Macaca fascicularis: one gene and its partner. The protein of the gene in region 2 purifies or fractionates together with the protein of the main gene of each other region. This does not show direct contact. Links are inferred from orthologs where the notes say so. Each region holds a gene or a part of one and is shown on either strand. Other genes may lie near its edges.

Evidence for each region.
Region 1: the proteins of TSC22D4 (region 2) and NRBP2 purify together in Homo sapiens (affinity purification with mass spectrometry; 3 studies listed by BioGRID and IntAct, counting the BioPlex papers as one, with this or other methods). This does not show direct contact. The link is inferred for Macaca fascicularis from reciprocal best matches to the Homo sapiens genes TSC22D4 and NRBP2.

Annotation. Positions count from the first base shown.
Region 1 is NC_088382.1:153,494,937-153,510,608, forward strand, and holds NRBP2 (nuclear receptor-binding protein 2), read right to left. Parts: upstream 12,212-15,672; 5' UTR 11,948-12,211; coding exon 11,825-11,947; intron 11,325-11,824; coding exon 11,202-11,324; intron 11,126-11,201; coding exon 11,024-11,125; intron 10,921-11,023; coding exon 10,831-10,920; intron 10,649-10,830; coding exon 10,608-10,648; intron 10,508-10,607; coding exon 10,413-10,507; intron 10,296-10,412; coding exon 10,272-10,295; intron 10,203-10,271; coding exon 10,119-10,202; intron 10,039-10,118; coding exon 9,983-10,038; intron 9,876-9,982; coding exon 9,780-9,875; intron 8,753-9,779; coding exon 8,620-8,752; intron 8,520-8,619; coding exon 8,417-8,519; intron 8,324-8,416; coding exon 8,273-8,323; intron 8,199-8,272; coding exon 8,063-8,198; intron 7,177-8,062; coding exon 6,963-7,176; intron 6,871-6,962; coding exon 6,713-6,870; coding exon of another isoform or gene 6,657-6,712; 3' UTR 4,524-6,656; downstream 1-4,523. UniProt on the Homo sapiens protein: May regulate apoptosis of neural progenitor cells during their differentiation.
Region 2 is NC_088377.1:49,048,240-49,064,817, forward strand, and holds TSC22D4 (TSC22 domain family protein 4), read right to left. Parts: upstream 14,326-16,578; 5' UTR 13,919-14,325; intron 13,484-13,918; 5' UTR 13,215-13,483; coding exon 12,453-13,214; intron 9,562-12,452; coding exon 9,395-9,561; intron 2,158-9,394; coding exon of another isoform or gene 2,064-2,157; coding exon 2,015-2,063; intron 1,633-2,014; coding exon 1,423-1,632; 3' UTR 987-1,422; downstream 1-986.

The DNA of each region.
Region 1 (15,672 bases), on a different chromosome or scaffold from region 2:
TAAGGACACTCCCTGGTCCTGTCAGTCCAGCCTTCAGCCACTTGCTCAAGTTGTCTTCTCAAACAGACCTTATCCCATCCCGCTGGATGTGGGCTGGGGGGAGAGTAGCAAGTAATAAATGGGTAAACTGTGGCTAAGAAAGGTCCAAAACGGGATTAAGTCCTATAAGCTAAGTGGTGAGGAAGAAAGACCAGACTTCATCGCGCATGTGTTGTGTGCATGGATGTTCTCCCCCTACGTTAATAACGCCTGCCCTGCCCGGGGAGGTGGGCACTGAGCAGAGCAGGGGGCGACTCACTCTTCTGGATGCCCACGCAGTTCCCTCGGGAGCCCAGCAAATGGTACCCTGGGTGGGAACTTACTTCTGGTGGGCACCAGACCTCCGACCGCCTGTCTGGTTCCCCATTGTGTCCCCAAATCCTCCCACAGAGCGATTTCTCAAAAACCGTAGGATGAGAAAGCACGTCCTTCTTTCCCAAGTGGAGACAAGAGAATAGAGATAACCATATCACTCTACAGCACCGGAGAACGAATTCACAGCTGCAGGCGTAGCGAGCCAAGGCCACCCCATGCTCTGAGCTGCAGACCCCTTTCTACAGATCCCGTCCCCTTCTGATCCTATCAACCCGAAGGCCCACGCATCATCCCCAGGAACCCGCTTCCGTCGTGACCACGGCGCACATCCCCGTCGGCAAAGGGAGGACGACGACCCCCGCCTGCCGGACCTAGCGGGTAGGAACGCGACCCCGCTAGGCTCGCCCGCCCGGGCCACATGCAGCGCCCGGGCCCCCGCGCCGCCCCGCCCCGCCGGAAGCTGGGGTCCGCAGACCGGAAGCTGAGGCCGCGAGCCGGCCGCCCGCGCGCACCCGCCCCGCCCCCGCCTCGCGCGACCCGGGGACACAAGGGACTCCGCGCGGGACCTGGGAAGACCGCCGCGTTCTTGGGAGGCCCTCCGCGCCCAGGCTGGGCCGACGACCCGGCCCCGCAAGCTGAGGGCCGCCCGCGTCACGGGGGGCTCACTTACGAGAGCTATGGTCGCCGTCGCCATCTTGCGTCCGTCGCGGCCGCCGCGCGCACCACCCACTCCTGCTCCTTCCGCGGTCTCGCGCGATCTGGGCGCCGGCGCACGGTACTCTCGCGAGGAAGGAGGTAAGAACGCGCTTCCGGGGCGGGGAGGGACGGTTAACGCCCGCGGGAGGGGCGACGGAAGGGGTGTGCCCTTGGCCGGGCGAGGGGAGGGGTCTGTGCAACCTGGGCGTCCGGGGGCGCGCGCCGCGGTACACGAGCCGGGCTTTTCTCGCCGCGTGGCCGACGCGGGAGCGCGTGGTGGCCCTCGCCGCCCCTCGCCCTTGCGGCCACTACTGAGCTTCTCTTCTCTGCCTTTTTTGGAGAAAACGCCGTCGCGGGCGTCGTCCAGAGGCTCTCCTCCGCGAGGCAGGGGAAAGAGCGGGACCCTCCTGGACTGGAGGAGTCTCGGGTGATGAAAGGCCCGTGTGTTTCAGGCTCACGTCGTGAGATGCTTCGTCCCCGCGTCGTGACATCCTTGGGGCCGGGAAACCTCGTTCAATTGGCAGCCTTTTCTCCTTCCAGGGAACAGATGACCGTAGGCTGGCTGACATCAGTCACTAGGCCCGCAGGCTACAGGCCCCCTTAGTACCTGAACTGGCTTTCATGACCCAAAGTGTTTATCAGTACTGTTGGGAAAGCTGCCCGTCCTGGACATTTGCCATCTGCTGCACCCAGTCCCGAGACCCTAACTTGGTCATCTGAAGAAGCCACATCTGTAAGCTCAGGCACCTTCAGTGCCTGAGGCCACAAGGCATCCCGGGCAGGCCTCCTTTCAACCCTGGGAACGTTTAGAATTTAATACAGACACCTTTACTTAAATAGGGCAGCATATTCCCCGCCTTCCTCCTGAAACCCTCTGAAATTATAGGAAAGGGGTTTTATAAAGACAAACCCTGCAAGGGCAAAGAGCTGGGATATTGTAGAGCTGGAGGAAGATGGACAGTGAGAGCTACTCCAGCCCACGCGGCCATGGAGGCCGGTGTCTGAGGGTCGTGGGTGAAAGCACAGCTACAGAAAGGAAACCCCAGACCTCTGTCCATACCCACCGGGGCTGGCAGGCAGTGCAGTGGCTGAGACGTGAACTCTGGGAGAGGAGCTCTGAGGCCCTGCCCAAGCAAGGCTCTGTCTGAAAGCCTGGGAATAAGTGAGACTCTGGGTCCTTGCCTTACCTCCACCCCCTGGGCTGGGTCTGACCACCGACATGCCATCAGCCTCCTCAGAGAGGAGGGCTCCTTTCTGCTGCAGCTCCCAGCTCAAAAGAAAAGACTGGCAGGGCAGCTAGGGGCAGAGGGTTGCCCAGTAGAATGGCCCAGCCAGATCCCTGGCCTCGAAGCTCACCAGGCCATAAGCCCCAGCCACTAAAAGCATCTCATTCTTAAAAGCAACTGGACAGCCCAGGATCATCAGACACCTGAGAAAGAAGCAAAGGGACTCAGAAGAAACAGAGACAATAAAGGAAGCCAAAGAAAAATGAAAACTAAAATGCCATTCTCAGAGATATTAGAGGTATTACAGGCAATAAAAAGGAACTGGGGGCTATAGAGAAAGAACACTCAGGATGAGAACGAGCTCTTAGAAATAAAACATGAGGGGAAAGAGCAATTCAATAGGCTTTTTAGGATGAAGTCTTCCAGAATGTATAATGACAGAACCAGATAGCTGGAAAACAGAATAGCAGTAACACAGGTGGGTGCCCTTAGGGCCAGCCTGGCACACAAGGCCTCCACAATGGAGGGGGTGGATGGGTGGTGGGGGGCTGGTCCACCACCACCACCAGGGGAAGCCACAGGCACCACCCTCTGGGAACAGCTTCCCTTGACAATAACGTGCATGCAGGGTGCATGGTGCCCAGCACTGTTCTTACACACATTCACTCATGGGATCCTCACAACCCAGTGCTATGCAATGGGTACAGCTGTTATCCCCATTTTTACTGATGGGCAACATCACAAGGCAGGGAGCAGTAGAATGGCTCCAGAGCCTGTGTTGTTTCCACCACCATGACTGCATCTCAAAAGAGAAGTCCAGGTCAGGCACAGTGGCTCATACCTGCCTTTCCAGCACTTCAGGAGGCTGAGGCAGGAGGATCACTTGGACCCAGGGGTTCAAGACCAGCTTGGGCAATATAGCGAGGCCACATCTCTACAAAAAATAATTTTAAAAAACCAGCTGGGCATGGTGGCACAGGCCTGTAGTCCTAGCTAGTAGGGAGGCTAAGGTGGGAGCATTGCTGGAGCCCAGAAGGTGGAGGTTGCAGTGCCCTGTGATCATACCACTGCCCTCCAGCCTGGGTGACGGAGCCAAATCCTGTCTCAAAAAACAAAAACAAAAAATAAAAACCCAAAAAACAGAAACCCAACATCTAAATAAATTGTCCAGAAAATAAGGAAATGAGAGAAATCAACAAAGAGATAAATCACGAAAATTTCCTAGAACCAAACAGTCATGTTTCCTGAACAATGGGTGAAAGGCAAGTTGTATATCAAGACACATCATTGAAAATTGCCGAAGTAATGGGGCAAAGAATAAAACAGAAGAGATCATAGGTAAAGAGTCAGAATTCAGAAAGGCACAAGAGTTCTCAGAACTAGAAGAAAATGACACGACACCCTCAAAATCCTGGGAATAAATGATTTTCAACCAAGCCAAGCTTTTTGTAACTAGTCACACCGTCAAGCATATGTGAGGTTAGCATAAAGACAAACAGGTAAAGACTCCGCAACTTCCTATGCACCCTCTCAGGAAACTTGGAGGATGGTCCTTCTCAAACAGAGCAAATGAAGGAAAAGGAAAGCATTCCAGGACACTGGTGAAGAGTTAACCCATGCTGACAACTGGACCATAAGTCCAAGAACAAGTAGCCTGGGCAGGGGGCTTGCATAGTGGGGGCTCCAGGAAAAGAAGAAACTGAGCAGTCAGTTATGTGATGAGTCCTAAGCTGTGAGAGGATGCTCATGCTTTTGCAGGAAAGTCTAAAGATGAATCGATGACAAACACATATAGAAAACCAGGCAAACAAAAAATAGGCAATTATTAACTCCAGGGAAAACAAAAAGTTGTGCAAGAAATGCCATCCTAGAACACCCTGTTCTCCTGTGACGCGTGGTAATGAAGCTGTAATAACACCCTGCAGCTGTGATGCCCGTCACACTAGAACGATGCCGCATCAGGAGACTGAGGCGGGTGACCACCCTCCTCCCAGAGGATGCTGGCTGGGGACACCTAATGTGAAACAACTAATAAACAGAACTAAAAGCTCATGATTTTGAAAAACATGGATTTCAAAATGCCTGAAGAAACAGTTAAGAGAGTTGAATTTGGAGAGGATGAGAGTAGGAGCCTGCCTTTATTATTTATCATTGGCCTCAAAAAGAAAAAAAAAAACCCATTCTACTTTAAAAACAATACACATAAAATTCTGAAAAGATAAAAGGAAGAATTCAACAGAGACATGATTAAGTGCAGCAATGGTAGTATTGATGCTTTTAAGTTCAGTTTAATCAGTAGTACAATGTTATGTGTTTGCCACTGAAACCATTTAGGACCGTGCGTAATCAGACAGTTTCACATGAGGGTTTCCATCTAGGATATGGAGATTATTTTAGATTACTAATTTTGAGTTGGAAGGTGTGAGCATTAGAATAATTTTGTAAATAGTATTGGAATATTTAAGATAACTGAGATTCACTATTTTGCACATTTAATTTATTTGATATGCATTAGTAAGTCTTGCTTTGGTTTTTGGCTTTTGGTTGGGGTGCTGTGGTCAGCAGAATGCCACCCTTCCCCAACAAAAGAGTTTCCTTCCTTAATCCCTGGAACCAGTGAATGTTAGTTTACATGGCAAAATGTGTCCTGCAGATGTGTTTAATATTAAAAACCTTGAGGAGGGAGATTATCCTGTATTATCTGGCTGGGCCCAACCTAATCTCATGAGTCCTTAGGGACAACCTTTCCTGTCTGCAGAGAACCAGAGAAATGTTTCGTGATACAGACTGAAACTGCTAGCTTTGAAGATGGAGGAGGAGGCCAAGAGCCAAGGAATGTAGGCAGCCTCTACAAGCTGGAAGTGGCCTTAGTTTACAGCCAGCAAGAAAGTAGGGACCTTGGCCCTGCCACTGAAAGGATGTGGATTCTGCCAGCAGCCTGAAGAAGCAGGAGACAGAGTCTCCCCTAGAACCTCCAGGAAGGAAGGCAGCCTGCCAGCCTTGATTCTAGTCCAGTGAGACCTGTAGTCAGACTTCCAGCCTACAGAATTGCAATACATTTGTGTTGTTCTAAGCCACTAAGTTTGTGGTAAATTTTACAGCAGCAGTATAGAACTAATACAGTGGTGTGCCTTCCTGGTTTGACATTTGAAATGCTTTTAAAAAGGCATGATTGTGCTAAATTTATACATACAATTTAAAATGTTTAAGGCCATTTCACTAAGTTTGGAATTGGAGGAGAGGCAAGCCAAGAATCAAGAGGCCAGGAAGGCAGGGGTAGAATCTATGGGGGCATAGAAACCTCTAAGACTGAGCCAGGAGTGCAGTGGGAGAGAGGCAGGGAGCCAGGAGCTGACATCCTCAGAGGCCCAGGGAGCAGCTGCCCCAGGGAGGAGGTGCGGGAGGTAACATGGAGGGGGTGTGAATCTGAGGAGCAGAGAGGATGTGGGGGCCCTGACCCCTCCAGGCCAGGGAATGCAGGAGAGAAAAAGCCCGTTGGAGGGGCTGCAGTGGCCAGAGGATATCTGTAGAGGGGCTGCAGTGGCCAGAGGAGATCTGTAGGGGGGCTGCAGTGGCCAGAGGAGATCTGTAGGGGGGCTGCAGTGGCCAGAGGAGATCTGTAGGGGGGCTGCAGTGGCCAGAGGAGATCTGTAGAGGGGCTGCAGTGGCCAGAGGAGATCTGTAGAGGGGCTGCAGTGGCCAGAGAAGATCTGTAGAGGGGCTGTAGGTTCTGGTCTCGGGGTGGGTAAAGGGTCAAAGAGGTGGCTCCAGGGCAGAGCTGCGTGGGACCAGGGGCTTTGCTGATGACAGCCTCAACTCCAGACCTCTCTGTGGTCTGTTTCTCCTGCCAGGTCCCTGTTGTGCCCAGTGCCATGCGTGACACCTGCAGGTGTGTCACTGCTGGCTTGCTGTGCAGGCTCCTTGTGTGGGTCTATGGTGCCAGCCAGGGATGGCTGCTCTCCCAGACCCCATGGAGCAGTTCCCTGGGCAGAGGTCTGTCCAGGGCTGACCCTCACCCCCAAGCCCCAGAGCTGGGGCTCCCTGCAGGGCAGCCTCCTGCATGCTGAGCAGGCAGTGGCCCTGGCCAGGCAGCCTGGGTAGGAACTCAGGGTGGAGAATGGAGGATATGGGAAGGGGTCCTGAGGGCAACCCTGAACCTAAGGACCTGGGAGGCCTAACGGCTCCCCCACACCCACCCCCCACCCCCGCGGCGCCCGAGGCAGGGTCAGCCCCACTCTCAGGAGGCGGGGGTTTCTTCACTACCAGGGCCTTTGTGCTCCCAGGCACACGGAGGAGAGCAGCCCTGCGGTGCTGGGGTCTCCCCCACATGGCCTGCCTGGGCAGCACCCCGGCATGGTCCCCAGGGGCTGGGGTACTGGGTCAGGCCTGGGCCCCACGGTACTTCAGGAAGGTGCTCTCCAGGAAGGTGGCCAGCTTCATCCGGTCGTCCTGCGGAAGGAGGGAGGCATGGGGGACGGAGGGGCACAGCCTGCCCCGCTTGCCCCCTCCGCCAGGCCACGCTGCACCGCCCAGCGCACCTCATGGAGGAAGCCGTAGTGCACAAGCTCCGAGGCGAGGTCCTGAGGGCTGTCCGCTGCGGCAACGGTGTAAGGCGAGGCATGAGGCCGCTGCGCCACCCGCTGCCCGGGGTCACCGCCCACCGCCCAGGTCCCTTGCCCAGCCTACTTGGGAGCAGGTCGTAGGTCAGCTGCCGGTGCAGCCGGTCCTCCAGCACCAGAAGCAAAGTGAGCTGGGGAGGCGGCGGGGCGTGGTCGGCTGGAGGTTTGGGGGTCTGCCACGCTCCCGCCTTCCCCACAGCAGCGCTGCCCTCCCAGGCCCCGCTCACATGCCAGCGCGCCTTGTCCTCGCTTCTCTCCAGGTTGCACTGCATCTGGATGACCTGCAGCGGCGGAAGGCTGAGACTCACAGACCCAGCAGCGAGACCACATGCCGCGGCCCCAGAGGGGCCAGGAAGGGACAGCAGAGATTGGAAAGGGGGGAATCTCTAAGAGGAGCCCATCTCACTGCTAGTGGCCTAGTGAGCTAAGGAAAGCTTCGAGAAGAGTCGACATTAGGTGCTGGGTACTGAAGGCTGAATAGGAGCTTTCACTGCTGAGAGAACAACTTAAACAAAGAGGGAACTTGAGCACGGGGAAAGGGAGGTTGAGTGGGATGCGACTGCACCGAAGTGCAGGGTGCCTGCAGGACCAGGCCTCCCAGCGCCTGGGCATCAGCTGAGGACTCCCATGATCTCTGCGGGCAGCCAGGAGCAGGCAGTTTGCCTGTTAGGACATAAATTCTGGCTGCACTGCACCAAGAGAGGCCACTGGCCAGGAGGCAGCGCTGCAGGAAAAGTCTGAGGAGACACCAGGACATAGATACCCGGGAATCAGCACGAGGTGGGGGGTGGGAGGGTGGGGGTGGGAGGGTGGGGGGTGGGAGGGTGGGGGTGGGAGGGTGGGGGGTGGGAGGTGGGGGGTGGCGGGAAGAGTACTGGCGGGGTGGAAGAGCCTGGGCGAGTTCTGGAGGAAGGATGCTTGCAGTAGGTTCAGGGCAGGCAGCAGGATGCAGGGGAGGATCTGAGGGGACAGGGAGCCTCCCGGAAAAGGAGAGTGTCCAGCCTGTCCTACAACCCCCATAATCCCCACAAGGGGGTCAGCCTGGATCTGGTCTCTGGCAGCCAGGAGGAGAGCTGGGCTGTGGGGAGCAGGCCCTGGGAGAAGGAATCTCTTATCAGGCTGCTGGAAGGTCTGAGGGATGGCACTGAGCAGCAAGAGGGGACTCACCTTCCTAGTCTCAGAGTCAAAGGGCTCTGGCGTCGGGGTCTTGGCCTTTTGGACCTCCTCCAGGGGTGGGGCTAGCACCCGGGGCAGCCCCAGGGGCCGAGTGGCTGCAAAGTTCATCAGTGGGTAGATCCCATTCCTGGAGACACACCGGGGTGGCTGGGGGCTCAGGCCTGACAGCTGCCTGGCCCCCAACCTTACATCAGTTCTTACCTGACATCCTCCAGGAATTTGTCCAGCTCCATGAAGGAGACTTCCGAATACCTGGCATGGGGGTGGGAGGCACATGAGGGGCTGGTCAGGGGCGCAGGGAGGGGAGGCACGGGGAGGGGAGGTTTCTGGGTGCTGACTGCTCACCGCCACTGCAGCGGGGGCCTGCGGGGCCGGGGAAGCTCCGCCAAGACTGCGTGCAGGTCCACGGCCTTGGTCTTCTCCTCCACTACGTTCTCAGGCATGAGGTCTGCAGCCACAGGAGCATCAAGGCCGTGGGTCCTGCAGGGCCCCTTCCACATCCCAGCCGCAGCCTCCCCGGTCACCCCCTGGGCTGGCCTGCTGCTCACACTGGTGCTGGATAAAGCAGTGGGCTGCTAGGAGCTTCAGCGAGTGCACCTCGAAGAGCACGCGGTGGAAGAGGAGGCTGTGGGCAGAGGGCCGGCGGGCAGGGTCCCGGGCCAGGCAGCAAAGGATGAACTCCTGGGGCATGGGGAGGAGAGGCTGGTGGTGTGCAGAGCTCTCTGCTCTGGCCCCACAGTTCGAGGAGAGGTGGTCCCTGAGTTCTCCTCGTCCCTCCTCCTCAGGGACATACAGGACATGCAGGGATGCCCGTAGGGAGGAGTCCTGGCAGCAGCCAGGCCAGGACCTGGCCCTCTGGGCTTGAGGACAGCTGGGTTCTGGGATTGGAGCACCATGCTCTGCTTCCCTCAACCTCCCAAAAATCATGGGGAGTAGGAGCCATGATCTTTAAGTCACACCTGCAAGCTGTGGTCCTTTTTTTTTTTTTTTTTTGAGACGGAATCTCACTCTGTCGCCCAGGCTGGAGTGCAGTGGCACGATCTCGGCTCACTGCAAGCTCTGCCTCTCGCTACCCATGGTCATTTGATCGGCTCAGCTCAGGCCCAGCACTGGAGATGACCTTGCTGGTTCCCCACTCTATCCACATCCGTGCCCAGCCCGGCTCCAGCTCCCTACCAGCCCCATCCAGGCACCCCCATCTCCTGAGGCCATGGAGTTAAGTCTGGATTCCGAGCAGAGGGGGCTATGGATGCAGCTTCCATCCCATACCTCTTTTTGCCTGCTTGGCACCCACCATGTCCCCCCACAAGCTGGAGCCTCATCACCTCCTAGAAGCTTAAAGTCAAGGACTTGGAGTGAAGCAGACCCAGGTGCAGATGTTGGCTCCACCACTTACTCTAAAGCCTCAGGCAAAGGACTCATCTCCTCTGAGCCTCAGTTTCTTTATCTACAAAACGGGCATGGTGATAGCAGCCACAGAGGGAGGGTCTTTCTTGCCTTCTTGTCCTTAGAATGTGCTGACCCATTAGGGCCTCCAGGCCTGGAACCAGTATGTGCTCCCACTGAGGTCCTCTTTGCGGGGGTGCAGCCAGCTGATATACCTCTCAGCTACATAAACTGTGATGCTCTCCCAGGCCTGCCTGGAGCACCTTGCTGGCCTAGCTGAGCACAATGAGCCAGCTGGGGAGGGGCAGGGCAAGCTGCTTACCCGCATGTTGGGGTCACTCAGTGAGTGCCTGGCACGAGCAATGGCCTCCTCTGTGACCCGGGTGTCCCCGTTGGCCTGGATCTCCAGCACAGCCATCTGGGGCACAGAGCCAGGTCAGGCATGGGGAAGGGACCACACAGGTGAGCCAGGCAGGGCACAGCTAGGAGGAGGGCAGAGCACAAGGTGGAGGGCGGGGGCAGTACCTCCAGCGCACACATCCCAAAGGAGAAGATGTCCACAGCGGTCCCATCGGCCACCTCTGAACAGGAGAGAACACAGGACGGGTAGGAGAGAAGCACACAGGGCAGGCACGGGGCGCCCAGACCCAGCGCCACTCACCGCCGTACTCTGGGGGGAAGAAGTGCAGGTTCCGAAGTTCCTCTCGCTCAGCGCGGATGGGGCTTCGGAGATCATGCGGCAGCGCTGTGGAGGGCGCAAAGGCTGAGCGGGCGGGACCTCTCCAGGACCCCATCCCCCAGAGTCCGCACTTACCATTGGAGAAGATTCGGTGCCACACTGCCAAGGGGCGGGAGAAAGAGCGGAGTTAGCTGCTGGAGCATCAGAACTCCTCTGCCCTTGGCTGCAGGCACCTTCCCCTGCCCCGTCCCCCGCCCAGCCCTGTCCCGCCAGCACCAGAGCCGATCTTGATGAGGCCGTTGTGCTGAATGAAGATGGTGTCGCTGGTCAGGTTCCCGTGAATGATCGGGGGGCTGCAGGCGTGCAGGAAGCTGCAGACGTTGGGGAGGGGAGAGTAGGAGGAGCCGGTCAGGAGGCTCTGGGGAGGCGGGGGCTCAGCAGCGCAGCGCCCGGACCAGCCCAGGCCCTCACCTGAGCGCGGACAGGATCTGCGTGCACCAGCGCTTCCAGGCCTGGCGGCGGACGCACGACTCCGTCGGGTGGGCGCAGGAGAGGCGGCTGGGCCTGCGGAGCCCGCCCCGCATCCTCGCCCAGTCCCTGTCCGAGGCCACTGGGCACCCCCTCACCATCCCAGTCCCCGAGGCTGCCCCAACCCCGTCCTGTCCCCGTGGCTGCCCCAGCCCGCTCCCCATACCCGGGCGTTCATGGCCTTGTGGTTCTTCTTGGTTTTTTTGAGGAATTGCTTGAGGCTGCCTGATGACACGTACTCTGTGATGAAGATGACCTGCAGGGTGCGAGCTCAGGATTTCCACCAGCTGCGCGTTCGTCCCCATGCCCACCCCACCTGGCTGTGGCCTCTGCCTGCCCGGGGCCTCGCCCATAATCACCCTCGCGCAGGCCTCGGAGGTATCCAGCCAATACTTGTGCAACTTCACGATGTTGGGGTGGTCCACCAGCACCAGCTGCTCAAACACAGTCTGGATCTTCTCCTGGGGAGGGAGGGTGGTCTCTAGGTGGTCAGCAGGTGGTCACCCAGGCAGGATGAGGAGGGGGCAGCGGCCTCACCTCGTGCGCCGCGAAGGCCTTCCTGTCTCTGAAGTGGAGCTCGTTCCACACCACCTCTACCCCCTCCTCCGTGTCCATGGCTAGGAAGGTGCTCTGAAGCCCTGGCATGTTCCCCTGGTTTACCTGGGGAGTGAATAAGGGGTTATGTGTGCCCTGGTGTGTGTCAGGTTGCGGGTGAGGATTTGGTCCCTGTCTATTCCTTTCCAGTGGGCCCAAGCGTGGACTGTAGGACCTGAGCCACTCTGCGGGAAGGTGGGGGCTTGGAGGGTAGCTGCCCCTAGGAGCCAAGGGCTCCTATCCAAGGGCTCCTATCCAAGGGCTGGGCTAAGGGGATTTGGAGCAGGTTTCAAGGGGTCGAGGGGGATCCCCAGGAACCTAGCCGCTGAGTCCAGAGGCATGGGGAGGTGGTCCTAGGAGGAGACTGGCCCTCAGGGAATCCCAGGGCGGGCGCCAGGCCAAAGGGGTCCAGGGGTGGCTGATTCGCTGGCCGCGAGGGACCGTGGAGAGGTTTCCAGGCGCCGCGCGCCGCGCTCTCCCAGCGCCCCCACGCCCCGCGCAGCCTCCAGGCCCCTCCGGCTCTGGGAGGGCGGTGTCACCCCAGTGCCCCCGACCCCCGCGCCCACCTCCTCCCGCCGCTTTTGCCAGCGACCACACGGGCTCTCTTCCAGGATGTCGCTCTCGTCCTCGCTCTCGTCCTCCCGCTCCCGCTCCCGGGCCAGCCTCGGCGCCGGTTCAGGGGCCGCCATGGTTCGGCCGGCCCAGGCCACCGCCCTCCGCGCGATCCACCGCCGGAGCAGCCTCTCCCGGCCCGCCCTGGCCCCGCGCCCAGCAGCCCAGCCTAGATCCGCCGCCGCCGCCGCCGCCGCAAGCCCCAGCCCCGGCTCTGGGAATTGGGAGGGGCGGGCGCGCGGCGGGCAGATGGGGGCCGGAGGCGGAGCCGGCGCGCCGCTCCCGAGCCGCGTGTGCCAGCCCGAGCCAGAGCACCGCTTCCCAGCCAGCTGCCGAACCCCGGCCGCGCCCAGGCCCCGCCCCTTCGGAGGCCCCGCCTCGCGAAGCCCCGCCCCAGGCCCTGTCCCCTCCTCGTCCCCCAAGCCTCCTCCGCGAAGCCCCGCCCTACCTCCGCGAAGCCCCGCCCCGTTTTGGTCCCCGCCCCCGCCCATTCCCAAGGTCCTCCGCGAGGCCCCGCCCCAGGCTCCGCCTCGCCTCCTCGAAGTCCCGCCCCGCGCAGGGGAACCGCCCCCAAATCCCCGCCCCCGTGGAGGCCCCGCCCCGCGGCCACCCGGAGCCTGGAGCAGCCCACTTCTCTCGCGGTTGCTCTCCTAGGATCTGGGGGAAGACCCGGGGCATCTGGGGTCCCCCAAGCCCACGACACCCTCCAGCTGCAGGAGTCCCCGCGGGCTCGAAAGCGGGGCCCCGCTCTCCTGGCCACGCACTCATTCCCCGGCCGACCCCCTTGGGACAGGTGGGTGGGACACCGAGGGCGGGGGGAAAGGCCCACCAGCAGGCTGACCCAGGCTGACTTTCACTGGGGGCCACAAATCTCTCCGTGGCCCGCCCGCCGGTGCCTCCTCCCGCCCACAAGCCCATCTTCTCACCTTCCAGGATGGCGATTTTCTCTTTTCTCCTCAAACGCGCCCCTCCTTTCCGCGGTTGGCTCGGGACAGTGGAACCATGATGGGGGAGCCCACCCGGCTCACAAGGCCGCTCCCTCCGGAGGCCGCTCTGAGCACACCCTCCAGCCACGCTGACCACCGGGGCTGTCCCCGATTCTCACCTAAAACCCCCTTCAGCCCGCAGCTGCCACAGCCTTCCCGTGGCCTTCTCCCTCTCTCAGGGCGGGTCCTCATCCTTCACCTTCTCTCTCTGGAGCCCAAATTGGAACTCCGCTCCTCCCTTCCGCGCGCCTCCGTGTGCTGTCCCTTTGGGACGCCTCTTTCTTTCTTTGGCAGATTTGCATCTGGCCCTGCTGCGTCCCCTGTGGTCGCTCTTTCCTGACCAGCCTTGGTCACCAGGTCCCCTGAGTGTGGCTTCCACCAAGGCCAGATGATCCTGCTGAGGCCTTCTGCAGTAAAGGTTTGGGGTGTTCAAATTCTCCACCCTGAAACTTGCCCTGACCAGCTCCTGAGAGACACCCTCTAAGCCTTTGGAATGTTCCGCCTGATTTGAATGTCTGTGTTTACCTAGGCCACACCATAGTCTATGCTAAGCTTGTCCAATCCGCAGCCCAGAGGGTGCATTCGGCCCAACACAATTTTTTTTTTTTTTTGAGACGGAGTCTTGCTCTGTTGCCCAGGCTGGGGTGCAGTGGCCGGATCTCAGCTCACTGCAAGCTCCACCTCCCGGGTTTACGCCATTCTCCTGCCTCAGCCTCCTGAGTAGCTGGGACTACAGGCGCCCGCCACCTCGCCCGGCTAGTTTTTTGTATTTTTTTAGTAGAGATGGGGTTTCACCGTGTTAGCCAGGATGGTCTCGATCTCCTGACCTCGTGATCCACCCGTCTCGGCCTCCCAAAGTGCTGGGATTACAGGCTTGAGCCACCGCGCCCGGCCCCAACACAAATTTGTAAACTTTCTTGTTGAGATTTTTTTTTAAAGCTCATCAGCTGTTGTTAGTGTTAAGTGTATTTTATTTAAGTGTGTTGCCCAGGACAGTTCTTCCAATGTGTGCCAGGAAGGTCCAAAGATTGGACACCCCTAGTCTGTGCTAACAACGTGGTCTACCGGGGGACTTTGGGCCATGTGGCATCAGCCTGACCTCTGCAGGGGCTGGAGGCCAAAGTCTGCGACTTGGGAGGTCAGCCATACCTGTGTGACCAACCCAATAAAAACCCTGGACACCGCGGTACAGAGGGCTTCCCTGGCTGGTGGCATGCTGTGCTCATCCGTGCTGGGAGGTTGAGCACTGTCCGCATGCCTGCAGTGGGTGTGGACACCTGCAGACCTGTGCTGGTCTCTCTTGGGTTCTGTTCCGTGAGTCCTTGCCACTGCTGATTTTAACGCATCCATTGCTGTAATAAATGGTACCCTTTCTGAGTTCTGTGAGTCCTTACAGTGAACCATTGAACCTGAGGGTGGTTTTGGGTAGCCCCCAGTGGTCCCTTCTCACTTGGCACGAGGGCCTAAACAGGAAGGCCCAGTAATTGGTCCCATTACCCTACCTCATGTCCCCTGCCCTCTTCAGCTGAGCCCACCGCAAGTACATGGCCCTGTGCCGTTGGACATGACAGGCACTTCCCCTCAGGGTCTCTGCCCTGGTTATACCTTTGCCCGGAATGCCCTTCCCAAACATCCTCTGAGGTCACTTCCTGAGAGGCCTGCCCTGGCCACGAATCCTGACATCACAGTCCCCATCCCCTTTCCCCTGCTTGACTTGACTTTTCCTGGGGCATTCACCCCACCTGACTTGCATCTGGGTTTTTCTCATCTCTCTTCTTCACTGTCTGTGTCCCTGTTGCTATTCGAGCTCCCACAGGGCAGGAGTGTCTTCTCTTTGTCCCTGCTCTTTCTCTGGTGCGAGGACAGTACCTGGCACGCAGCAGGCCCTCAGCAAACACTTGTTGAATGGATCTCTGGGTGGGCAGGGGTGCGTTTTGGGGGGTGTGGTCCAGAGAAGCCCCTGAAGAGGTAAGGCTTGAGCAGAAGAATCTCAATGAATTTCCTCCCCTTTCTCCACCCCCATAACCAGACACACATGTTCTGTGGTAGGTCATATAGAATCCCCCAAAAGTCTACATCCTGATCCCCAGTACCTAGGAGCACAGCCTTATTTGAAAAAAAAAATGGCTCACGCCTATAATCTCAGCACTTTGGGAGACCGAGGCGGGCGGATCACGAGGTCAGGAGATCGAGACCATCCTGGCTAACACGGTGAAACCCCGTCTCTACTAAAAATACAAAAAATTAGCTGGGCATGGTGGTGGGCGCCTGTAGTCCCAGCTACTGGGAGGCTGAGGCAGGAGAATGGCATGAACCTGGGAGGCGGAGCTTGCAGTGAGCCGAGATCGCGCCACTGCACTCCAGCCTGGGAGACAAAGTGAGACTCCTTCTCAAAAAAAAAAAAAAAAAAGAATAAAAAAGATTTTTGCAAATGTAAATAAGTTTAGGATCTTGAGATGTTGGAGTGGGCCCTAAATGTCCTTATCAGAGAAAGAAGGATACTTGGGGTGCAGAGAAATAAGGTAGACCGTCAAGTGAACATGGAGGCCACTATTGGAGGGATGTGCCCACAGGCCAAGGCGTGCCTGGGACTGCCAGGGCCATGAGTGGTGAGGAGAGAGACCTGGGATGGATTCTCCCACCCCAGCCCCAGAAGCAATCAGCCCTGCTGATACCTCAATTTTGCACTTCCAGCCTCCAGCACAGTGAGCGAATCTGTTTGTGCTGTTTTAAGCCACTCCTGCATCTCTGGTGCTGCTCTGGCAGCCCGAGGGGAATAGCACATGCACCGGGCACAACCCGCATGGTAAGAAGAG
Region 2 (16,578 bases):
GCTACTTAGGAGACTGAAGTGGGAGGATCACTTGAGCCCAGGAGTGGAAGACAACAGTGATCTATGATAACACCACTGCACTCCAGCCTGGGCAACATAGCAAGGCCCCATCTCTACAAAAATAAAGACAATTAGCTGAACGTGGTGGCACACACCTATAGTTCAGGGAGGCCAAGGCAGGAGGATCACTTGAGCCAGGGACGTGGAGGCTGCAGGGAGCTGTGTTTGTGCCGCTGCATTCCGGGCATCAGAGCAAGACCCTGTCTCAAAAAAAGAAAGAAGAAACGAAGAAAAAAAAAAGAAAAACCAAAGAAGTTGCCCAAGGTTATGAACCTAGGGAAACCTAAGGAGGCAGAGAGTCACGGACTCCAAGGCAGGTCAGCCTCCTTGGAGGCTGCTGGGGCTAGGGGCCTCCTGGGGCTACATCCGCAACTCTCACCTCTTCCCCGCTAGATGGGGTCCTTCTCCATCACTGCTGACTCTTCCGCCTGGGACTGGAGCCCAGGCTGCCAGGGAGGGGCCATCTCACCCACAGGGCCCGTCCTCAGCTGGCCGGGGGTGGGAGCCACGGCGGCCGGCCAGGCCTGGCAAGGGCACCGTGTGCCCAGGGAGTCTGGCCCACACCCAGCCCAGAGACAAGGGGCCCATTCAGGGCCCCCCGCCCCGCCCCCAAGCAGCCACCCGGATCCAGCCCGCAGAGGGGACACACTGGGAAGCTGGGGGTGGATCTTGGGCAGCCACCAAAGACCTCATTGTTTCCTGGTCCCCCCGCCCAGCACGTGGGCAGACGCCCCCCCACCCCCAATCCTCGCCTGCCCCTTCCCAGGACCCGAACCGCTGGCTCCCTTCTCCAGTCTCTGTCTCAACCCCTCCATCTCCCACGCTTTAAACCTCCCCAGTCTGCAAAAGATCTCAGGGAAGCCCCAAATGGCAGGCGCAACCCCTGAGTCTGAACACAAGCAACGAACGAGATGTCAACCTCCAAATTCAAGTTTCTTCAGAATTTTTAATTATTATTATTTTAATAACAACCTGAATCCCAGAACTTCCAGATACTGTCCACACTCCCTCCCCTAGGCAGAGGAGAGGATGCACCTCAAGGGAACAAGGTGGGGGTGGGGTGTCTGCCAGGGAGCCTCCAACTCCCCCAGGCCGTCGACTGCTGGGGGTCCCATGAGGGAGGGTGGAGGTTGGTTCCCTCCCAGAGGGGGCTCCCTCTGATGCCCCGTCCTGAAGTCCTCCCTCCTCCATCAAGGCTGGGGATGATGAGGAGATGGGGCAGGGGCCGGGGGACCAGGCCGTTACTGAGCCTTGAACTCCCACCCTGGGGACATGGGGACATTAAAGCTGCATAGGAAGAGGGGGCAGGCGGCTGACAAAAGGCCGGGCAGCCCCAAAGGCACATTGTAAGGGAAGGGAGGCTCAGACGGAGGGCCCATTGGGCGCGGAGGGCCCAAGCCGTGGGACCCCCGAGGAGGGCAGCTGAGCCAGCTGCTCCGGGCTGGCCAGGGCGCGCAGCAGCCCGTTCTCCTGCTCCAGCGCAGCGTTCCGCTCTGCCAGTTCCCGGATCTGCTCCTTCAGTACCTCCACCTCCTCCCGGACCGCAAACATGAGGTGGGACTTCACCAAATCCTGGGGGCCCCGGGGACAGGCACAGTGTCAACGGAGTGGGTGCCTCATCCCCTGCCCAGTGCCTCAAGGGCCGGGATGGGAGAGAGTCCCGTGTCCAGAGGATGAGAGACAAAGCAGGGAAGGGACAGGGGAAAAGGACGAGGGACAGAGGCAGAGTCAGAGCTCAAAGACAGAGATGGGGACCAGCAGCCAGACCAGAGGCCGGGCAAAGTCAAGGGTGCAGGTGGCGGTAGGAGGGGGCAGAGGATGCCCAGGAGCCCAGCAGGGAGAGGGATGGAGGAACTGGGAGTTGGTGTTCCCTGGTAAGGAAGAAGACAGGGCTGGGGCGGAGGGATGGCTTAAGGGGGCCGGGACCTCCTGGGACCAAGATGGCTTCTCTTACCATGGCTTGCTCGATTTTGTTGTCAATGCCAACCAGGCTTCCGGAGCCACTGGAGAGACACAGGAAGGTGAGGGGAGGAGAGGAGGAGCCTTCCCAGGTGCTGGTTTCTTGGACCACAGCCTCCCGCCCACACCCCCCTATACCTGTGACAGTAGAGAATGAGGGAGAGGAGGGTTTTGTCCATCCCCCTGCGGGCTGAGGGCCGCTGCCCAGGGCCTCCCAGGCCCCGGTGGGGCGGGGGCCCAGATGTCCCTCGTATGGGGGACGCACCCCGGGGAGAGCAAGGGGAAGAGGCACAGCCCCTTTTTCGGGGCGGCCCCGGAGCCATCCCCACCACTCGGGTCTCATAAGATGACACCAGGGACTTGACAGAGATCCCTGGCTGGGCCATGCCCAAGGGGAAAGGGTCCTTAGACGCCCCCCCAACGGAGAAGGATGCAGTGAAGGGAATGCCTGGGGGGCTCAGAGCCCCCCGGGCAGAGCGGGGTCTGGCTGGTGCCAGGCGGGCAGAGAGGAGACAGTGCCTCGGGGGTGCTGGCCTGAAAGATATACACCACCCCCCCCAAGGGCAAGGCCTGGCTGCTATTGGCTCCTTGGGGACACGGGGACCCCCCCTCCCCTCGGCTCCTCGGTGGGCGGGAATTCCCAGACACGGTCAGTGCCAGTGTCCCCTTCTCACCCTGGCACCAATCCCAGAGTGGAGGGGAGGGGGCCGGCCGAGGAAGTCAGCTGGTGGCTGGGCCAGGGGAGGGGCGTGGGGCAGAAGCCTGGGTCTGAGAGGGGAGTAAAGGGTGTGAAGGGAGACGAAGGGCCTGGCCCTCGGAGGCCCCTCCCCACCTCTGACCCCATCCTGTCCCCTCTGTCCCTCAAGGCCTTGGGAAAGAGGGTGGAGGTGGCTGGGGTAGGGGGCGTTCTGACGTACTCGTGGTCTTCCATAGATCATGAGTGCTCTACTACCAAAAAACCCCACAAGGCTCACATCATGGGTGACCCCGGGACCTGGCCAGAGGGTCCCTGACTTTCCAGAGAAGACCAAAAATGGGAAAGGTTACCACGGCAACAGAAACTGAGCCCAGAGCCCTAGAAGACGAATACAGCCTAAAGGCCAGGTGCGGTGGCTCACACCTGTAATCCCAGCACTTTGGGAGGCTGAGGTGGGTGGATCATTTGAGGTCAGGAGTTCGAGACCAGCCTGGCTAACACGGTGAAACCCCATCTCTACTGAAAATACAAAAATTAGCCAGGCATGGTGGAGGGTGCCAGTAATCCCAGCTACTCAGGAGGCTGAGGCAGGAGAATTGCTTGAACCGGGAGGTAGAGGTTGCAGTGAGCTAAGATCGTGCTACTACACTCCAGCCTGGAAGACAGAGTGAGATCCTGTCTCAAAAAAAAAAAAAAAAAGGGACAGGCATGGTGGCACATGCCCGTAATCCCAGCACTTTGGGAGGCTGAGGCAGGCGGATCTCCTGAGGTCAGAAGTTCAAGACCAGCCTGGCCAACATGGTGAAACCCTGGCTCTACTAGAAGTACAAAAAATTAGCCAGGCGTGGTGGCAGGTGCCTGTAATCCCAGCTACTCAGGAGGCTGAGGCAGGAGAATCGCTTGAACCTGGGAGGTGGAGACTGCAGTGAGCCGAGATCAGGCCACTGCACTCCAGCCGGGGCAACAAGAGCAAAACTCTGTCTTAAAAAAAAAATACCGCCGGATCACGAGGTCAGGAGATCGAGACCATCCTGGCTAACACGGTGAAACCCCGTCTCTACTAAAAAATACAAAAAACTAGCCGGGCGAGGTGGTGGGCGCCTGTAGTCCCAGCTACTCAGGAGGCTGAGGCAGGAGAATGGCGTGAACCCGGGAGGCGGAGCTTGCAGTGAGCTGAGATCTGGCCACTGCACTCCAGCCTGGGCGACAGAGCCAGACTCCGTCTCAAAAAAAAAAAAAAAAAAAACCGCCTATGGGCCTGGGACCTGGGTCTGGGGTCTCAGAGGAAGCGAGGGCTCAGAGGAGAGGAAGGGAAGTGAGCTTGGAGATGGGACATTGGGAAGAGGAGCAACAGGGCTTGGAAGAGAGGTGGGAGTCCCAGGTGACAGGGTCTGGCTGCAGTCTGGGAAGTGGCCACCAGAGGGCGACTCAGGCCTGGCTCAACAGCCCCCAGGGCCAGGCTCCAGGCTGGCTCCAAGACGCTGGGCTCTTGGTCCCAGAACCTGGCTCTCCCTCAAGCCCCACTCTCACCGCCCAGGACCTGCACAGGCTCTTGTGCCGACCTCATCCTCCAAGGCTCCCTCTCCCACCACTCTGGCCCCAGGCTCTTGCCCTGAGGCTCCAGACCTACCCTTGTACCCCTGCACTCTGGTGCTGTGGTGGGATCCCCAGTCCTGCCCTCCAGCCCCCAGCTGGGCCCCGCTCGGAGCAGGGGCCTCAAGGGGCTGCAGGCCACATCCCTGGGCTCCCTTGTAAGCTCTCCCTCCTGGCTGTCAGCTCAGACTCGCTTCCCCGCAGGGGGATCAGCACTCAATTCAAGGTGACCCTTGGATGAGGTCCTGCAGCCAGGAAGGGAGCACAGGGAGCTGGGAATTTTCCATTTCTCATCCAAGCTCTGGGTGCAGAACGCGCTGACAGGTAGAGCAACTGAGGTGACCAGGCCTGAGTGAGCAGGATGGGGTGGGTGGGGGAAGGGAATCTGGGACTCCTGGGGCAGTGGGAGAGGAGAAGTTGAAGGCGGGGTGGTGGGTCTGCCAGCAGGAGGGTCAAAGTAATTTTTGAGCTATTTCAATCAGCAACACCTGAGTGGATATGGAGCCACCACAGAAAACCCAATACCCCCCCTCCACCACATTACACAGACTCACAGAGACCAAAGCGGGTGGATACCTAGGGATAGGAACATGGGCCCTGCTTGGCGGAGACTCAGGGGTAAAGATGTCAAGTAAGGTGTTCGTTCTCGCCAGAGATAAAGGAATAATACAACAATAAACGTTTGTTGGCCAATAGGTGACTGTCTTCTGTTTGTCTAGCGCCTGAGAGTTTCTGACAGCACTTTCCACTGGGGCTTTTTTTTTTTTTTTAAGACTAAGTCTTGCTCTTGTCGCCCAGGCTGGAGTACAATGGCGCGATTTCGGCTCACTGGAACCTCCACCTCCCGGGTTCAAGCGATTATCCTGCCTCAGCCTCCAGAGTAGCTGAGATTACAAGCATGCGCCACCACGCCCAGCTAATTTTTGTATTTTTAGTAGAGATGGGGTTTCACCATGTTGGCCAGGCTGGTCGCCAACTCCTGACCTCGTGATCCGCCCGCCTCAACCTCCCAAAATGCTGGGATTACAGGTGTGAGCCACCGCGCCCAGCCTCCATTGGAACATTCTAACACACACTTCAAGGGACCAGGACTCTGGCAACGCAGGCCTTCCCCTTTAGGACCCCAGAGTGAGGGGTTGTGGGCACTGTGCTAGAATTCTTTGACAGGGTCCAGGGGAGGAAAGTAGTGGCTGCTGAGACAGGACCTACCTCCACCACAAGCCCAAAAGCAAGTTTGTGTGGATTAGAAAATGCCCCTTTCTTCAAGACCCTTAATGCCACCTTCCGGAAAACTGTCGTGACTTCCAGCATTGACTGTGATTTCAAATATGAGCAGCACCCCCTGGAGTTGTGCAGTGTGTGACATGCACAGTGGGAGACTTAGCCCTGCAGGACTCTCGGTCCCGGGGCAGGGACAGCCCTAGAAGCTGGTCTTCCTCTTTGAGGGTCAAATAAAACGGCCTCAACATGAAGATGGGATAAAAAGCAGGACACCTGGCCGGGCGCGGTGGCTCAAGCCTGTAATCCCAGCACTTTGGGAGGCCGAGACGGGTGGATCACGAGGTCAGAAGATCGAGACCATCCTGGCTAACACGGTGAAACCCCGTCTCTACTAAAAAATACAAAAAACTAGCCGGGCGAGGTGGCAGGCGCCTGTAGTCCCAGCTACTCGGGAGGCTGAGGCAGGAGAATGGCGTGAACCCGGGAGGCGGGGCTTGCAGTGAGCTGAGATCCGGCCACTGCACTCCAGCCTGGGCGACAGAGCGAGACTCCGTCTCAAAAAAAAAAAAAAAAAAAAAAAAAAAAAAGCAGGACACCTGGGAGAAATGGGGAGCCTGGGATCTTGGGGACAGGGGCCAGCCCTGCATACTCGCCAGTGAGTTCAGGGGATCCCCCAGGGCCTAGGCCTGGGACCAGGAAAGTGTCAACCAGCTGCCCTGTCTCTATGCTCTCCCGGATTTGTGGTGTCTTTGGGGCGGGGCTGGGGAGGTCAGGGAGGGGGAAGGGGGTTTGGCTCCCTGCCCTGCTTGGGAGAGCTGTCCCTGTCCTAGAGAGAAAGGACATCATAGACCGTTGCCGCCACCTCTTTGCTTGGGACACAGGCATCCCAGTAGGATAGTGGAGAAAGTGGCTTTGGGGTTGGACCTAGGCTCCAACTGTAGTCCAGCCACTTAAACTAGCTGGGTGGCCCCGGGCAAGTTTCTAAAATCCTCCTGGCCAGGCATGGTGGCTCATGCCTCTAATCCCAGCACTTTGGGAGGCCGAGGTGGGTGGATCACCTGAGGTCAGGAGTTTGAGACCAGCCCGGCCAACATGTTGAAACCCCGTTTCTAGCAAAAATACAAAAATTAGCCGGGCGTGGTGGCGGGCACCTGTAGTCCCAGCTACTCGGGAGGCTGAGCCAGGAGAATCAGTTAAACCTGGGAGGTAGAGGTTGCAGTAAGCCAAGATTGTGCCACTGCATTGCAGCCTGGGACACAGAGCAAGACTCCATCAAAAAACAACAACAACAACAACAACAACAACAACAACAAAAAACCCTCCTTCTCTGAGTTTCAGATACTTCATCTGGCAAGTGGGAGAACGGAACTGCTTTTTAGGATTACAAGGGATAAGGCAGTACCGGACCCAGGGGAGGTACTGGATAAATAAATGTATCTTTTCTTTCCCAAGTCCCTGGGATCCATTCCCTATAATGCCTGGATCTCGTAGGCCGGCCACTGCCCCCACCCCCAATTCCTTCCATCCACTTCTTCACACTTAACCAACTACCTGCCACCTGCAAGGAGGGGACAAGGATTTCCAGTCCCAGGGCATGTGAGCATTCTAGATTCACCTGCACCCTCTGTTCGCCCATCCCCAGATTCAGGGACTGGTCAGGCATCTCCAACTCCCTCCCTGTGATCCAGGCACTGAACATCTCGGCCCACCTTCCCTCGTAAGAGGGAGGTCCCAGGCCACTGGGACCCTGTTCTGCCAGCTCTGTGTACACCAGAAAGGAGAGGTGGGGTCTACACGTCCCATTCCTAGGGGGCAGGGGGTGGCCCAACCCAAACCCGCCGGCTTGGCAGGGTGGGGCTTGAGGGGCTGGGCTGGGACAGATCCCCAAGAGCCTTGGAGCACAGCAGGGTGAAGTGGAGGCTGGGAACCGGACTGGTCAGATTGGGGTGTGCAGGGAGGGGGTGGGACGGAGGAAGGCAGGGAGGGAGGGGACGGGGAAAGACGGAGGCCTCAGGAGGTTGAATCCTCTAAGACAGAGACAGCAGGAGGCTGGGCTGTGAACTCAGCAGGGGTGGGGGAGGGACGGGGAGTCCTCTAGCCAGGGAACCTCCCAAGTGGCAGAGGGAGAGGGCGGGAAATGCTGAGAATAGCAGTGATGGGGGCAGGTGACTCTCCCAGCCCTGGCCGACCTCACACCTCACACATTCCTGAGAGTGGGAATGGGGCGTGCAGGAGCCACCGTGTCCTGCCCAGCCCCGCCCAGCCCCGCCTAGCACTGGCACCCTTGCCCTCCATCACACTAGCTCCTGGCCACCCCCTTTGCCAGGTCCCTCTCCTCCCCGAGGCTGCAGGACCCTGTCAGTGGTGGGCTTAAGTACCTGATCCCGCGAGCGGCCCCGGATCTGGGGAGGAGAGGAAGGAGCAACTCCCATCTGGAATAGGTCCCTCAGGCACCCACTCACCCACTCTCGAAGCCCCACCCCCAATTTCCTTCCAAGCAGGAAGTCCCTCCCCTTGAAAACCTCCTACGGAAGTCCCACTCCTCCCTCCAAAAGAAAAACGGTGACTCCCCAGCCCTTCTGCCGGGTTCCTATCAGTCCCCGGCCAGAAGCAGGCAGCCTGGCTATCTCTGACTCACGATTCTGGGCCTCCCTTTTCAGCTTGCTGGCTTTCTTAGGAACGGTGACACCTGGCCCTGAAAACCCACCCAACAGAGCACTTTCCCCTAAAAGGTGAACCCCAGAAAGTCGCTCTCTGCAGTGCCGTCCCTGCCCCTTTGCCATTCCTAGCTCTGACTCTGTTCCTAGCTGGCCCATCTTAGGGACTCGCTTTCTCGGTTCTAGAAATCCTAGGATACTAAAGTAGACCCCGTGGGCTATCGGATGTCACAGTCCATACGTGCTGTTAGGGAGTCCCAGTCCTTTGTTAGGAGAGGAAGAGGGAGATGGAACTGAGACGAAACTGATTTCCATTCTTTTTCAGTTCTTTTTTTTTTTTTTTTTTTTTTGAGGCAGAGTCTCGCTCTGTCACCCAGGCTGGAGTGCAGTTGTGCGGATCTCAGCTCACTGCACACTCTGCCTCCCAGGTTCAAGTGATTATCCTGCCTCAGCCTCCTGAGTAGCTGGGATTTCAGGTACATACCACCACACCCGGCTAATTTTTGTATTTTTAGTACAGACAGGGTTTCACCGTGTTGGCAAGGCTGGTCTTGAACTCCTGACCTCAGATGATCTGCCCACTTCAGCCTCCTAAAGTGCTGGGATTACAGGCATGAGCCACCATGCCCAGCCTACTTCCTTTATATATATGTATGTGTGTGTGTGTGTGTGTGTGTGTATCTCTATATCTATCTATATATATGCTATTTTATTTCTTTTTCTTTTTAGAGATGAGGTCTTGCTACATTGCCAGGGTTTGGTCTTGAACTCCTGGCCTCAAGCAATTCTCCTGCCCGGGCCTCCCAAAGCACCACGAGTACAGGTGGGAGCCACTGTGCCCCGGCCTGATTTGCTATTCTGTCTAGAGCACGCATTTGCCAGTGGGTTCCTGGGGTTGGCCAGATGATCTCTAAATCTGCAAGAGCTCTGGAATCTGACAACAATGAGTCCCTTCAGAATCTAAAAAAGTCTGTGACCTGACAGTTCTGAGCCAGGGAGTCCCACCCAGCCCTCTCCACAGAGAGGGAGTGGGTCCGAAATCATCTGTGTGCAGTGGTTATGCCCAGGCCAGGTTTCTCTGTCTAAGAGTTCCTCTCCAAGTTCAACCTGGGGGAAGGATGCCTACCGGGCAGTTTCTCACAGCCATCCCAGGTGCTGGGCAGGGAACCTGAACCCCACGCCCCACCACCCCACGAAGCCCACCTACCTATCATCATCGCTGTCTAGGTGACCACTGATGGCCAACATGGAGTGGGCCAGGCTGAATTTCTGAGCTGCTACTGCTCCGAAGGGGTCTGGAGATTTGTGAACCAGGCTGGCATCGTGGGCGAAGTAGAGGGCCGGGGAGCTGGGGCGAGAGTCGAGTGGGGGCACCTGGAGGCGGAGAGGTAGGAACCATCACGTGAAAAGAGAAGAGAAAGGAATCAGCCGCCTTATAACTTGCCTATTAGCCTTCCTCCCTCTCCACCTCTCTACTCCCTTTGGAGGACCCGGGAGTCCTGTCCCCACAGCCCTTCCCTTCTCCAGCTCTGGAGAAGGCATTAGGCAGGTACTAGAAGCAAGAAATGGGTAAACCTGAGGAATGGGAGGAGTGGTGTATGGGACATTACAGAGGGTCTCCCAAGTGGGAGGAGCGGGGGACTGATGGAAGAACCGAGAATAGACTCCAAAGTCCCTGCTCCCCCTGGGCCGGGACCCTAAACAGAGGCTACTCAGAGTGTCTGCCTTCTTTTATATTTTATTTTATTTTTTTGAGACAGTCACTCTGTCAGCCAGGGTGGAGTGCAGTAGCACAATCATGGCTCACTGCAGCCTCGAATTCCCAGGCTTAAGCGATCCTCCAGCCTCAGCCACCCGAGTAGCTGGACAGTTACGGCGCGCACCACCGTAACTGGCTAATTTTTTATTTTTTGTTAACACAGGGTCTCAGTATGTTGTCCCTGCTGGTCTCAAACTCCTGGGCTCAAGTGATCCTCCCGCCTCAGCCTCCCAAAGTGCTGGGAGAATAAGCCACCGCTCCCAGCCTGTGCCTTTGCTGGAGTCTCGCTCTGTCACCCATGCTGGAGTGCAGTGATGTGATCTTGGCTCACTGCAACCTCTGCCTTCCGGGTTACAGTGATTCTCCTGCCTCGGTCTCCTGAGTAGCCAGGACTACTGGCGCCCGCCATCACACCTGGCAAATTTTTCTATTTTCAGTAGAGACAACAGGGTTTCACCATGTTGGCCAGGCTGGTCTTGAACTCCTGACCTCAAGTGATCCTCCCACCTCAGCCTCCCAAAGTGCTGGGATTATAGGTGTGAGCCACTGCACCCAGGCTGCCTTCTTAAAATGACTCCAATGTCACCTCTTAGAGAGGTATTTCCCCATCATTCACTGGTCCACTGAACTGTTTCATTTTTTTTATAGCACCTAACATTATCTGAAATTAAAGTATTTATTGTGTCTCTCCCCGGCTAGAAGGTCAGTTTGCTCAGTAGCTATTTGTAGAATGAATGGATCCTCAGAAACTGCTCCTCCATCCCCTCATCCACCCCTCACTCTCGCCTCCCCTCTCAAACTTCTCGGACTCAGGTGGAATTCTGCTCCTGCGCTCAGCCCTGGGGTTGGCGGGGGCTGGTTGTGGAGCTGGGGGGAGGCGGAGCCTGGGCGTGGACCTGCATAGCCCAACAGGCGCTGGGGGCGGCAGCAAAAAGGGCGGGGGCGACAGGAACATGACAAGACGCCTCTGTGAGGCCCCGGGAGGCCCCAGCTTCTCAGAAAAGCCAAGAACAGAGAGTCCAGGGTGGTTAGAGGGACAGAGCAGAGGAAGGGGGCCCAGGTGGTGTCCCCTGGCCATTCTCCACCACTCCCTTCTGTTAAGAGGGAGAAGAGGCATGAGGGGATGTGGAAGGGAGACAGACTTTTGGGCAGGGAAATAGCAAAACAGTTACGTGCAAACAGCAGACCGTCAGGAGGTGGGGGAAAGCTGGGGAGCAGGGGGCACTGGAGAGAGACAGGCAGGGTCTGTGGCCCCAAGAGAAGCTCAGGCCAGGCTTAAGGACAGAGAGCAGGGAAGCTGGAGGCCAAGGGGGTTTGCTTTGGAAGAGTCTGGGGACAGGACAGGAAGAGAAACAGCATCTTCTCCCCTGGGGTGGGTGCTGAATGCAGGAGTTCAAGAAGAGTTGGGCGGGGAGGGGGTGGGGAGTGGTAGGAAGGGGCCTCACGAGAGACGTGAGCTTGAGGCCAGGAGGGGGTTGGGGGGAGCCAGTCCTGACCGGTCCTGACAGGACCCAGACATCCAGTCCCAGGTTATTTTTATACTGTGGTTTGTGCCCAAGGCCAGGAAGGGGAAAGAGTTCGCATCCTCACACTCCCTGCCTTTCCCCAGCCCTCCGAGGTGTTATATTCTCCCCACAGGACAGAAGTATCCCACCCTTTTGTCTCTGGCTGCTCACCCCCACCACGGGGACCCAGGCATGCTGCCCCCCCAGCCCGGACTTGTTCCTCTTTTGGAGACAGGAAGGAGAAAGAGTATGGGACTGAACTCCTTCTGGGGCTTTTCTCCCCCACTCCATGGTGGTCACCCTGGAGTTATCAATCACAGAGAGGCTCAGATGGAGGGAGTTGAGACAGACAACTGGGGGGTGAAAAGGATCAACCAGCAAGCCCCCTCCCCATCCCTGAGAGGTGTTCCCCCCACCCAATTTCTCAGTGACACTTGGCCTACAGCAAAGCTGGAGGTAGGACTGAGATGGGTGGCTGGGAGAAAAGAAAGACCCCTACATTCAGGATGGGGCTGCAGTGCAGAGACTAGCCTCGCGCAAGGCCTACCTTTTACCTTTCCTCCCCAAATCCTGGCAGCTCCTCCCCCAGGGACCCAGCTACCCAGCTGAGGCCTCCACCCTCATCACCTAGAGGCAGAGGGGCTGAGACCAAGACAGAAGAAGGCCTGGTGAGGGGGCCACATATGCTATAGGCTACATGAAGACCAAGACAGAGAATCAGAGGCCAGGGAGAAAGAGAGAGGGTGCAGAAAAACAGGAAGGAGGCTGAGACAGAAAATGAAGGAGGAGGAAGGGGCTTCAGAGTGACCTGGCAGGCACAGAGAAGAGGGCTGTCTGATCTGATAGACAAGTAATGGAGGAGGAGGGGGAGGGGGAGGGGAGGGGAAGGGACGGGAAGGAGGAGGGGGAGAAGGAAGGGGAGGAGAAGGGGTGGGAGGAGGGAGGCCCAAGATAGAGGTTAGGCCAGGGCTGATGGGCGAGCCCTAGAACCCAGGTCTTACCTGCCCCATCTCCTCTGGAGCACCCAACTCCATCCGCAGCCGCATGTCTACAGCTTTCCTCCGGGACAGTGGAGGGGTCCTGGTCCCTGAGCCCCCAGCCTCCGCGTCCACCCTCAGAGAGGGCAGGGGCGTGGCAGCCCGGGATGTGCCCGCACTCTCACCGGTCCCAGGCTCTGGGGGGCGCTGCTGGGGTGGGGAGGCCGACAGTGGGGGTGTCTCTGCCTTGGCTTTGCCGGGCACCACCAGCTGGCCCAGTCCCCCAGTGAAGGAGCGGGCCTGAGGTCCGGGAGAGGTGGGGGGTGGACGGAGCCAGGAGGTGGGGCCCTGAGACAGGCCTGACTGTGGGGTGGGGGTGCCCAGGCCGAGGCTGGCCAGCTCCAACCTGGAATCCAAAGATCTGCCCCCGGCGCCCCCTGAGGCCCCTCGAATTCCCTCCAGGAGTCGGCCGAAGCTGTGGGGCTCCAGGTCTCGCTCATAAACATCCACACACGTCCAGCGACCACGGCGATATGGCTCTCCCAGGCCGTGGGGCAGCTTCACCACCCGGAAACGGGAGGAGGGGGCCCCAGGTGGTGGGGAGCCATTCCGGGGGGTGCCCTTGCCCCCCGGATCAGGGCTGGGCTCCCCACTGGGCAGGCGGGGCAGGGGCCCGGTGGGGGGCTGTGGAGTAGGCGGATCTGAAGTCCCTGGGCTCCCCGGGCCCTCATAGTCTGTGGTGACGCTGGTGATTTGGAAACTACTCTTCTTCTTGCCCCCGCTCATGGTCCCTGGGGCTCAGGGCTGGGCCAAGGTTGGGGGTGGGTTGGGACTCCTTGAAGGGGCTCAGGCACCCCTGGAACAAGGGGGCCACATGGTGGGGGCATCCGGGCCCCTGGGGACGTCTGGGTCCGACATGGCAGGAGGGCCTGGTGGGAACCCGGGGTGCCTGCTGGGTGAGGGGAGAAGAGGAGAGGGGAGGTGGCGGGAGGGGGGAGCACGGGCAGGTTTTTCCTGCTGCTGTTGCTGCTGAACTCCAGAGCTGAGTTTGCAAACTGGAAAAAGAGGGAGAGAGAGAGTGTGTGTGTGTGTCTGTGTGTGTGTGTGAAACCAGTGGGCAGGCCACCTCCGGGGCTTCCTCTCCGGGGAGCAGAGTGGGGGAAGGGGAAACCGTCAGAGACCCGGAGACAGGCAAGAGATGACAGAGACCAGGGCAGAGGGGACCAGATCCAAAAAGGCGCTCAGAGTAGGAAGAGGCAGATGAGTTCCAGAGTTGTGCATTTCTCATCTGAGATTCTGACTCAGGGGGCGGGTATTGTCCCAAGAGCTTGGACTCCAGGGCCTGGGAGAACCGGGGTGAAGCAGCTCCCCAGCCTGGCCCGGCCACTCAGAGAGACCTCTCCTGGGCCTCGAGCCCACCCCAGCTCCCACATCCCTGGGGCAGGCCCTGCCCGGCTACCCCCAGCGCCCCACCCAGCCCCGAATCCTACCTCTGGGGCCTCGGCCACTGATCTGAGCCTGAGGGTCCCGGCGCCTAAGAGGTCGGGCTGTGCGTTCCCTGGGGCCTTCTGGCCACGGGGAGTGGCGGGGCACGCAGGCGGCGATCAGAGGTTGCCCCGTCCTCTCCGGGGGCCTCAGCTCATCCTGGGAGGCATCTCCGAGGAAAGTTTGCTCTCCGGAAAAGAAGGAACCCGCGGCTCCTCCGAGGAGCCCAGGAGCGGCCGCTGAAGCCCCAGGGGTCTGGAGACTGATGTGGGAGAGGGCGGCCGAGCCCCCCGCTGCTCCCGGTGGCAGCCAGCGAGTGGGTGTCTCGAGTCTCCTCCCGCGTGGCCCCGCTGGGTCCGTGTCTCCGCTCCTCCGCTCCCCTGGGTCTCTGCCTCTCCGTCTTTCTCCTTCTGAGCTGTTGACAACCCCCACACCAGGAAGTCCTGCCTCCTCGGCCTGCTGACTGCTCCTCTCCTCCTCCTCCTCCTCCTCCTTCCCCTCCTCCTCCCCTTCCTCCTCCCTCCCTCCCTCCTGGGGCTTCCCGCCAGCTGGCCCGGGGCCAGGCCTGCCACAGCCGCTGCTGTTGCAGTTGCTGCAGCCACTGCTTAGGCTGCTGCTCCTGGGGGCCCCAAACAGACTCTCTTAACCCCACACCTGCCGGGCCCAGCCCCACTCTTGCAGGCAGGGGCTGCAGAGGGCGGGGCTCGGGGAGAAAGGGGAGGAGCTTGCAGGGAGGCGAGGGATTCCCTTACTTGTAGTCAGTTGCTGCCATTGGCCTAGAGACACACAGAAGAAACGGAAGGCACAGGCCGGGAGGTGTGCTGGATGCCCACCCAGAAGTGCCCAGTCCCTGCTGCGGGGCGGCTGTGGCGGTCATTCTCCTTTGGTTTTCACAGCAACTGCATGAGGAAGGTACTATTATTCCCCCCATTCCTTATTTTTAAAAGTGGATTATTGCCGGACCCCGGTGGTGGCTCATGCCTGTAATCCCCACACTTTGGGAGGTCAAGGAAGGAGGATTGCTTGAGACCAGTTTGGACGATATAATAGCAAGACCTCGTCTCTACAAAACAAACAAAAAAAAATTGGCTGGGCATGGTGATGTGCACCTATAATTCCAGCTACTCAAAGGCTGAGGTGGGAGGATCCCTTGAGCCCAGGAGTTTGTGACCAGCTGGGCAATATAGCGAGATCCCCATCTCTACAAAAAATTAAAAAATAGCACTTTGGGAGGCCGAGGCGGGCGGATCACGAGGTCAAGAGATTGAGACCATCCTGGCCAACATGGTGAAACCCCATCTCTACTAAAAATATAAAAATTAGCCAGGTGTGGTGGCATGCGCCTGTAGTCCCAGCTACTCAGGGGGCAGGAGAATCACTTGAACCCGGGAGGCGGAGGTTGCGGTGAGTAGAGATCGTGCCACTGCACTCCAGCCTGGCGATTAGAGCGAGACCGTCTTTAAAAAAAAAAAAAAAAAAAAAAAAAAGCTGAGTGTGGTGATGTAGACCTGTAGTCCCAGCTACTCAGGAGGCTGTGAGGCAGGAGAATCTCTTGAGCCCAGGAGGTTGAGGATGCAGTGAGCCTACATTGTGCCACTGCACTCCAGCCTGGGCAACAGAATGAGACCATGTCTCACCAAAAAAAAAAAAAAAAAAAAGTGGATTATTATGAAAATTTTCAAACGTGCCATGCAGACATGGGGAGACCATGCAAACTCCACACGGATGGTGGTCCCAACCCAAAATTAATTTTTAAAAAATCATCAACGTTATAATGAAATGACATTCAATGAAATGACATGTGGGGGCCAGCTGTATTTTGCTGGACTATTTGAAACCAAATCCTGGATGTTATACTATTTCCCTTTGCCCCAACCACTCCCCCACATTTTTTTTAGAGACAGGTGCTCTCTCTCTCTCGCTCTCTCTCTTTCTATTGCCCAGGATGGAGTGCAGTGGTGTGATCATAGCTCACCACAGCCTGGAACTCCTAGGCTCAAGCCATGCTCCTGCCTCAGCCTCCCAAGTAGCTAGGACTTTAGATGCACGCCACCACACCCAGCTAATTTTTAAATTTTTGTAGAGATGGGAGCTCTCACCATGTTGCCCAGTATGGTCTCAAACTCCTGGCTTCAGTTGGTCCTCCCGCCTCAGCCTACCAAGTAGCTGGGACTACAGACACACACTACTACGCCTGGCTAAATTTCTTTTAAAAAAATTTTTTTTTGGTAGAGATGGGGGTCTTGCAATGTTGCCCAGGGTCGTCTTGAACTCCTGGCCTCAAGTGATCCTCCTGCTTCTGCCTCCCTAGTAGCTGGGACCACAGGTGTACTCCACCACACCTGGCTAATTTTTTAGTTTTCATAGAGACAGGGTCTTACTATGTTGCCCAGGCTGGCCTCAAATGATACTCCCACCTGGGCCTTCCAAAAAACTGACATTACAGGCGTGAGCCATGGTGCCTGGCCTCAGGGAAATTTCTAACCCCTCTTTAGGGTTAGGTAAAAATAAAACAATAGAATACCTACCCTCGTTATGTATTTGTTCTTTATCTCTTTGTTAGAAACATCCACACTCCTGTTTCTCTCCCTTAAGCCATAGTAACAATGACTGCCATAGCCCAGGTCTGTGAGCCTCCCAAGTAGTGATGTCTGGGAAGCAGCCT